Linked DNA regions of Canis lupus familiaris. The protein of the gene in region 1 purifies or fractionates together with the protein of each later gene. This does not show direct contact. Links are inferred from orthologs where the notes say so. Each region holds a gene or a part of one and is shown on either strand. Other genes may lie near its edges.

Region 1 (4,289 bases):
CGGGGTTGGACATCATGTCCTGGACCAGGGGGTTCTCCATGATCTGGGACAGCATCTCAGGATTGGACATCAGCTGTCTCTGCATCTGCTGCTGCAGCTCCATGAAGTTGGCGGAGCCTAGGCCCAGGCTGCCCAGGCCCAAGATGCCCCCAAAGCCAGCTGCAGGGAGGGGCCAGGGTCACAGTGTGCCACAAGACCCTGCCCCCGCCAGGCCACAGCCACTGGTCAGGTCTCCAGATGGGCCTTGTCTGCTTCTCACATCTCCCTTTCCAATCCTTCCCCTGGCCCCAGCCCTGCCCCACTGCTGGCAGAGATGGGAGCCTCAACAACCAAGACCTCTCTGGCAGCAGACGCTGAGAGCCAAGCCCAGCACTGTGCACAGAGAGGGCGACCGACCGTGGTGGCCTGCTGAACGAGCAATAAATATTCCCCAACTGGTCACTGCTGGATCCCCCTGGTCCCTGCACACCCATATCCTCACCCCGAGTTCCCCACATCCGCAATCCCATTTCCTCCCTCCCCCTTTACACTCATCCATGCTCTTTTCCTCTGGGAGGGCCTCATAGACCAGTTTTTCCCTCCTCTGCTTTGCTCAAGTACCAGTGTCTGGAACTCCATGTCCAGGGGTCCCCTATCCCCATCAGACTAGGAGCAGGGACCGTGTTTCTGTCTCCTCTTGGCTCTCCCCTAAGCCCAAGCCCCACACAGGACTGTGATCTCCTCCCTAAGGGCTTACAGAGTATGGATGCAGTAGCACTGGGGGGTCCCTCCCCAGCCCCAGGGGAGGGACCCCCCCCACTGCTCCTCCGGCTTCCACTGCCAGCATCTGAAGTGGCGCTGCCAGAGGTGGAGGGCTGTGCAGGGGTAGCAGGTGAAGCAGGAGTGGTGGAGGGTGCTGAGGCAGGGTCTGGAGTGGAGGGGGAAGAAGCAGTAGCAGCAGCTGGATCTTGAGCCCTGAGAGACAGAGAGATAAAGTCCAAGCTGAAGTGAACAGGAAGGAGAGAACAAGGATCTCCTTTTGGTGCAGCTACTGCCCTAATGCCACCACCTTCTCAGCAACCCTGGGCCAGGTGGTGGTGGGGTAGGGGGGTAAGGGGGCTCCCCCAGCCACAGGGGTGCCGCTGGGGGCAGTATCATCTGCCAGCATTCTGGGAGAGCTACATCAGGTTCCTTTCCCCTGTAGGGGAGCCGTCCAAGGGCCACCTTCCTGGGCACTGGCATGGCCCTCCAGGTAGGTGAGCGACAGGTAAGAATGTGAGTACCAGAGGAGGAAAACAGGCCCAGTGAGAAGTTGGATCTACTCCTCTCCTGGACTTACTTCTGAGGGGTCTTGATGACCAGATGGACAGTGAGCCCATCCTTGATCCCATGCTGGTTCAGTGTGTCCCCGTCCTTGAGGATCTTGCCTGCGAAGATCAGGACCAGCTGATCCTGCTGAGCCTTAAACCTCCTGGAGATTTCCTCTTTGAACTGTGGTCAAGAGGCAGAGGTCACTGCAGAGGTTCCCTGGGCCCCACCCACCAGGGACCCTGCCTCTAGTTCGGGAAGTCCCTTCTGCAGTATAGACTCCATCCATCCAGCTGCAGTGAGCTGTGCCTTCATTAACCAGAGATGGACTAGTGACAGGCTCCCCTGGGCTCAACCCCAGGGTCTCCCACCCTAGAAGGCCCAGCCTTCCCTGTGACTCTCCCCTCAGTCCCTCCCCGCTGCTCCCTGTGGTGACAGCACTGCCCTGGTGGCTCTCTTGGTCCCAACTCCTTCAGCAACCTTGGACTCAGACCCTGACCCCTGCAGCGTTCCATTCTAGCCACCAGGTCTCTCTGCCCAGGCCCAGCCTTCTCGTAACAAGGACAACACACGGACCCCACAATCATCGCTAAGAGCAGCGACCATTCAGAAGTGAAGGGTCGCAGACTGATAAGATACACATGGGTCGTTATCTCCACTTTCAGGCGAAGAAAACTGAGGCTCAGAGAAGTTATGTAACTCACTCTGGGCAGACTGGAATTCGGGTCCTGACACCAAAGCCCTGGCTCCTGACCCAACACTCGGCCTCTCCACTCGGTTAAAGCTGATTCCAAATTGAGCTCTGCAGGGCAGAGGATGCACACTCTGGAATGTGGTCATTTCACATTCCAGGGGGGCAGTGATGGCACTAAAGTTTGGCTTGAGGAGAGGCAGGCCCCCAAATCTACTAGCTCTCCCTCAAACCAAGCCCAAACACGTCAAACAGGCCACTCTCTGTCAAGAGAGTGCACTTGCTAAGCCAAGGCAGCGTCCAGATCCCTGCCTTCCAACCAGATGGCCTCTCTAAAGCCCCGCCCATGTGAAATTCTGGAGCAGCCACAGGGGGTGGCGAACACAGGAGGTGTTCCCTCATTCACTCGGTCAACACACTTTTATTGAGCACCTACTGCACACAGCAAGTTCCGGAGGGGCGAGGGCCAACTGTAAGGGCCTTGATTTGAAAAGGTAGGACGGATCAGGGCGGAGGGAAACGCTCCCCCAGCACCCCGCGCCCCAGTCCCGGGCGCCCCCGGGCGCCCCCGCCTCCCGCGGCCCCTCGAACCCCGGCCAGCCCCCGGACGCACGCGGCCCGCATCCCCAGTGTTTCTCCCCTCCCCGCTGCAAGGGGCCCCCTCCCCGCTCTCCGCCACGCCCCCAGCCCAGGCCACAAGGCCAGCCCCGGCCTGGCATCCGCCGCACGCGCCGCGTTGGCCAGCGCCCCCCCAGGGGGCCCCCCAGCCCCGCTCCTGCCCCCCCGCCCCTCCGAGAGCCTGCGGGGCCCCCGCCCCCTCCGCCGCCGGCCTCCCGCCCCCCCCGCCTCGGGGCCAACCCCTCTCCGCAGATCCCTCCTCCGCCACCCTCGCCGCTCGTACTACCTCCTTGACGGAGGCCCGATCGCAGATCACTATTTCCTCCTTGTCCTTGGGGGTCTTGACGGTGACCCGAATGGGGGGCCTGGCCTCGTCCCCGCTCGGCTCCGCCATGCCGCCGCCGCCACCCGGCCGCCCGCCAGCCCGCCCCGGCCCCTCCTCCCCGCTCGGCCGCCCGCCCGGCGGGCTCTGCTCCGGCCTCCGCCCCTCCGCCCCTCCGCCCTCCCCTGCCCTGCCGGCCCCTCCCCTCCCCTCCTCTCCCTTCCCCTCCCCTCCCCTCCCCTTCCCGCGGCCGCGCCGCCCTCCGGACCAGTTGCGCTCACAGCGCCCCGGGCGGCCTGGTGGGGGCACTGCAGCCGGGACCTCTCGGGGGCGGGGCCTCTCTGGGCGGGGCGGGCCTCTGGCCTCCAGCGTGGGCGCTCCACCATCCCCGCCCGCCACCTACGCGGGGACTCAGGCTCCCGGACCTGACGCAGTCCCCGTGGCCGCCCCATTCTCGGGGCTCCCGGGCCGGAGTCCTTCATGCCTGGACGTCCCCCCAGAGTCTCACCTCTGGGACCGACCGTCCCCCCAGGGGTCGTGGCCTGCACGGGGTTGGCTAAGGACGGCTCCCAAGGGAGCCAGCGTGGGCTGGGTTCGGCCGGCGTGGACTTTCTGAGCCCCGATCCCGACCCCCAGGGTTGTGCACGGCGTAGGAAACTGCCCTGAAGAGTAATCGAACGTGTGCCTGACCAATACTGGGATTTCTTTTTCAGTTAGTGGTCAGGGATTGTAAAGCGGGCATGCTGACTCTTCTTTCCCCGGGATGGGGGTAGGGGGTGTTAAACGTCCTTCCAGTCCTGCCAGGTCCTTTCGCTCCCGCTCTTCCCGCCCCCCACCACCACCGCGTGGTTCCCCTGGAAAGGCGAACTACACTTCCCGGGGTGCGCCGCGAGGCCGCATGAAACTACAAGTCCCGGCGCCCCCCGCGGCGGAATGGCGTGGCGGCGTTGCGTCGCCGCCCCCGAGCCCGGCCGGGACCTCCGGAGTTCGGGGAGGCTCCCGCGGAGGCCCGCGGGAGGCAGCTCAGGGGCTGGCGTGGAAGCCCAGACCTGGGAGCCGCAGGCATGCTGCGTCCCAAGGCTCTGACCCAGGTGCTGAGCCAGGCCAACACCGGCGGTGTCCAGAGCACGCTGTGAGTGCGACCGGGGAGGACCCCGGGGAGGGAGGGTCTGGGGGGCGCGCTCTGCCCTGACCCCCGCTTTCTCGAGGCGCCCGGCGGGAGGCGGGCTGAGAGCGCAGCCGCCTTTGTCGCCGCCCCCAGCCCATCTGTATCCCTTGCCGCCGCTCGCCAGGCTGCTGAATAATGAGGGGTCCCTGCTGGCCTACTCCGGCTACGGGGACACGGACGCCCGGGTCACCGCGGCCATCGCC
Region 2 (4,327 bases), on another chromosome or scaffold:
CACTCCCAACAATGGGGAAGTCCTAGGCTTAAGATATCTAGGTATTGATAGAAAGTTAAATCTAGTGTATAGGATGAGGGTGCAAAGCCTGATAAGGGAACTTGAAGGTATATAGTAATTTAAAGATGAAAACCAATCATTTTTGCTAGAGATAACACTTTAAGATGGTAATTTAAAAAAATTTCTTAAGCTATAATTAGTATTGAGACAAATTGAACTTTTACTTGAAATGTGATGCGCAGGAGCACCGGGGTGGCTCAGTGGGTCAGGTCTCCGGCTCGCTCTGGCTCCCATCATGATCTCATGGGTCTTGAGATCGAGCCCCCATGTGGGGCTCTGCACTCAGGAGGGAGTCTTCTCCACCCCCACTCATGCTTATTTGCTCATGCACTCTCTCTCTTTCTCTCTCTAAAATAAAATAAATCTTTAAAAAAATGTGATGTGCATTTAGACTTTGCTTTTTTGAAAGTAGTTTCCTGCACATAATGACACATCGTGTCAAAATGGCGTATTTTAGTACAACATATTTTTCTCTGGGCAGAAGACAGACTTCTGAACCACCTAAGTCACTGCTTAAGAAGAAACAGAGAAGTATAAATGACCCTATTATAAAATATGCACTAATTACACTTGAACGAGCAAGGTGAAACAGTTCAGAGTACAATTAGGGATAAAATTCTATATAATAGGATGGAGGTTTGGAAACAAGGTTGTGTGTGTGTGTGTTTGTGTGTGTGTGTGTGTGTGTTCAGGGGCGTTCTTACTTCAGTTCTTAAACACCTGTACTTTTTGAAAACCGTCCTTTCAGCATTTTGCTTAGGCATGCATCCAGACACAGGCCTACCCGGCAAGAATTGCCCTCATTTATCAGACGGATAAAATAAGCAGAGGCACTTAGCATAGACAGTTTTTCGAGTCACATGGTGGGGCAGTGGTTGAGCAAGTTAACCTGTCCTTTGCAAGTTAAGATTGCCATTTACTGGGGACATCGGCTCTATTGCTTCTAAGATTTACCATATCTCAAGAAAATTGTGAGACTTGTTTGCAGGGGGAAATGGGACAGGAAGAGTTTGAACTTATTTTTTTTTTTTTTTTTAATTTGGAAGAGTGCTAGAAAGATAGGAGACCTTTTATCTTATTTTGACTCTCAACTGGAGACAACTATACATTTTAACTCATACTTTACAGTCTGTGATCATTTAGTTGTCTTTCGTTTCTTTTCAGGTGGTGCCCCGGCAACATGGGTGACTGGAGTGCCTTAGGCAAACTCCTTGACAAGGTTCAAGCCTATTCCACCGCTGGAGGGAAGGTGTGGCTGTCTGTCCTTTTCATTTTCCGAATTCTGCTACTGGGGACAGCGGTTGAGTCGGCCTGGGGTGATGAGCAGTCTGCCTTTCGTTGTAACACTCAACAGCCTGGTTGTGAAAATGTCTGCTATGACAAATCCTTCCCAATCTCTCATGTACGCTTCTGGGTCCTGCAGATCATATTTGTGTCTGTCCCCACACTCTTGTACCTGGCTCATGTGTTCTACGTGATGCGCAAGGAAGAGAAACTGAACAAGAAAGAGGAGGAGCTCAAAGTTGCCCAAACCGATGGTGCCAACGTGGACATGCACTTGAAGCAGATTGAAATAAAGAAGTTCAAGTATGGAATTGAAGAGCACGGCAAGGTGAAAATGCGAGGGGGCCTGCTGCGAACCTACATCATCAGCATCCTGTTCAAGTCTGTTTTCGAGGTGGCCTTCTTGCTGATCCAGTGGTACATCTATGGATTCAGCTTGAGTGCCGTTTACACTTGCAAAAGAGAACCCTGCCCTCATCAGGTAGACTGCTTCCTCTCTCGCCCCACGGAGAAAACCATCTTCATCATCTTCATGCTGGTCGTGTCCTTGGTGTCTCTTGCCTTGAACATCATCGAACTCTTCTATGTCTTCTTCAAGGGTGTTAAGGATCGCGTGAAAGGCAAGAGCGATCCTTACCATGCTACCACTGGCCCACTGAGCCCCTCCAAAGACTGTGGATCTCCGAAATATGCATATTTCAATGGCTGCTCCTCACCCACGGCTCCCCTCTCCCCCATGTCTCCTCCTGGGTACAAGCTGGTTACTGGAGACAGAAATAATTCTTCCTGCCGCAATTACAACAAACAAGCAAGTGAGCAAAACTGGGCTAACTACAGTGCAGAACAAAATCGAATGGGCCAGGCAGGAAGCACCATCTCCAACTCCCATGCACAGCCTTTTGATTTCCCTGATGACAACCAGAATTCTAAAAAACTAGCCGCTGGGCATGAACTGCAGCCACTAGCCATTGTGGACCAGCGGCCTTCCAGCAGAGCCAGCAGCCGTGCCAGCAGCCGACCTCGGCCTGACGACCTGGAGATCTAGATCCAGGCTTGAGAGCATTGATTCCACTCAGTGTGGAGAAGAGAAAAGGTGCTGTAGAAAGCGCACCTTAGGCGTTCATTTTGTTTCAGTGGAGGTGGTACTCAACAGCCTTCATCGTGAGGCTTAGAAAACACAAAGACATTAGAATACCTGGGTTCACTGGGGGTGTTTGGGATAGGCGGGTGGAGAGGGAGGGGAACCGGGAGGTACAAGTTGGTATTTAATGTAGTTTATTCAAAGAACTTTAGTTCTAAATATAAGTTGCATTAGGTGATACATAGGTAAGGGCTTTTTCTCCCCCCCACACACCCTAAGAATAGTGCTGTATATGTGAAAGAGTGGGTGATATATTTGGTTAAGTACTTTTTTGTTTTACCATGAAACTGAGATAACTTTGGCCGGGAAAAAAGAAAAATACTTCCTGGACATCTTGTTTCCTTTTATCAAGAAGAAGTTGGAGGATTGTCCTTATGTCCCTGCTAAAAAACATTCCATTGTTAAAATTTGCACTTTGAAGGTAAGCGTCCTAGGTGGGACCCTCCAGGTGTCTGTGGACTTGTGATACTATATTTTCTATTCTTGGTATCAGTTAAAAGTTCAGATAGGGCCCACAGAAAAAAGACTTTCCATGCATTTTCAAATCTCAGCCAGTCATATGTACATTATTTTTTTTTAACATCTACTTGCATCCTATTAATGCCATCACTTTTTCATCATTCCTCAACAACTGTTCACATTCATTTAATGGTTTCTGTAAAGATTTTTAAAACCGTGGGGATATCACTTAACATTTTTTGAATTAGAGTCAGGGAATCAAGCCATGCTCAATATTTAACAATCACTTCTATGTGTATGTGTGTGGAAGAGTGTGTTTTATTTGTCATGTATTGGTACAAGCAGAGCAGTATAAACTCACAAACACAGATTTGAAAATAATGCACACATAGTGTTCAAATTTGAGCCTTTCTCATGGATTTTGTGGTGTGGGCCAATATGGTGTTTACATTATATAATTCCTGCTGTGCAAGTAAAGCACACTTTTTTTTTCTTTCCCTAAGTGTTTTTTTCCCATGTATCCTATTGTGGATACTGGTTTTGTTAATTATGATTTTTTCCCTTTTTTCTCTTTTTTAGAATATAGCAGTAATGCTATTGCTGAAATGGATGATTTTCTTTTTCTGAAATGTAATCATGGATGCTTGAATGATAGAATTTTAGTACTGTAAACAGGCTTTAGTAATTAATGTGAGACACTTAGAAGAAATGCTTAGAGTGGGCTTTTAAGTGTGCCTAAATGAATTTTGCAGTAACTGGTATTCTTGGTTTTGTCCTACTTAATACACATTAATTCAGAACTTGTATACTGTTAAGAGTTAGATTGTCTTTTGGAATGACCAGCAACTTTGATGTTTGCACTAAGATTTTATTTGGAATGCAAGAGAGGTTGAAAGAGGTTTCAGTAGTACACATGTAACTAATTTATTTGAAATGTACCCTAAAGAAATCTACCATGTAACTAATTTATTTGAAATGTACCCTAAAGAAATCTACCAGTTTCTTCAAATGCCTTTTTAAAACTCATCAGAGATGATTAGTAAAAATGCGGAGTATCATACTTTTCTTCTTGCATGTCAGCTACATAAACAGTTTTGTACAATGAAAAATACTAATTTGTTTGACATTCCATGTTAAACTACTGTCATGTTCAGCTTCATTGCATGTAATGTAGACCTAGTCCATCAGATCATGTGTTCTGGAGAGTGTTCTTTATTCAATAAAGTTTTAATTTAGTATAAGGATAGCCTCTATATCCTGTGTGATTTTTTTTTTTAACTTGTATTACATCTATTCATGATTAACAAAGACATTTCATTGTTACGATGATTTAGGCAAGTAAGACAAGTTTCAGGAGTCTTTAAAAATAACAGCCATTAGGTA

Evidence for each region.
Region 2: the proteins of UBQLN4 (region 1) and GJA1 purify together in Homo sapiens (affinity purification with western blotting; 3 studies listed by BioGRID). This does not show direct contact. The link is inferred for Canis lupus familiaris from reciprocal best matches to the Homo sapiens genes UBQLN4 and GJA1.

What each region holds. Positions count from the first base shown.
Region 1 is NC_049228.1:41,748,286-41,752,574, reverse strand, and holds the start of UBQLN4 (ubiquilin-4), read right to left. Parts: upstream 3,045-4,289; 5' UTR 2,991-3,044; coding exon 2,883-2,990; intron 1,471-2,882; coding exon 1,319-1,470; intron 955-1,318; coding exon 737-954; intron 160-736; coding exon 1-159. Other genes in the region: ragulator complex protein LAMTOR2, read left to right, coding at 3,983-4,050, 4,211-4,289. UniProt on the Homo sapiens protein: Regulator of protein degradation that mediates the proteasomal targeting of misfolded, mislocalized or accumulated proteins.
Region 2 is NC_049222.1:61,513,914-61,518,240, forward strand, and holds GJA1 (gap junction alpha-1 protein), read left to right. Parts: upstream 1-1,224; 5' UTR 1,225-1,240; coding exon 1,241-2,389; 3' UTR 2,390-3,901; intron 3,902-3,943; 3' UTR 3,944-4,190; downstream 4,191-4,327. UniProt on the Homo sapiens protein: Gap junction protein that acts as a regulator of bladder capacity. A gap junction consists of a cluster of closely packed pairs of transmembrane channels, the connexons, through which materials of low MW diffuse from one cell to a neighboring cell.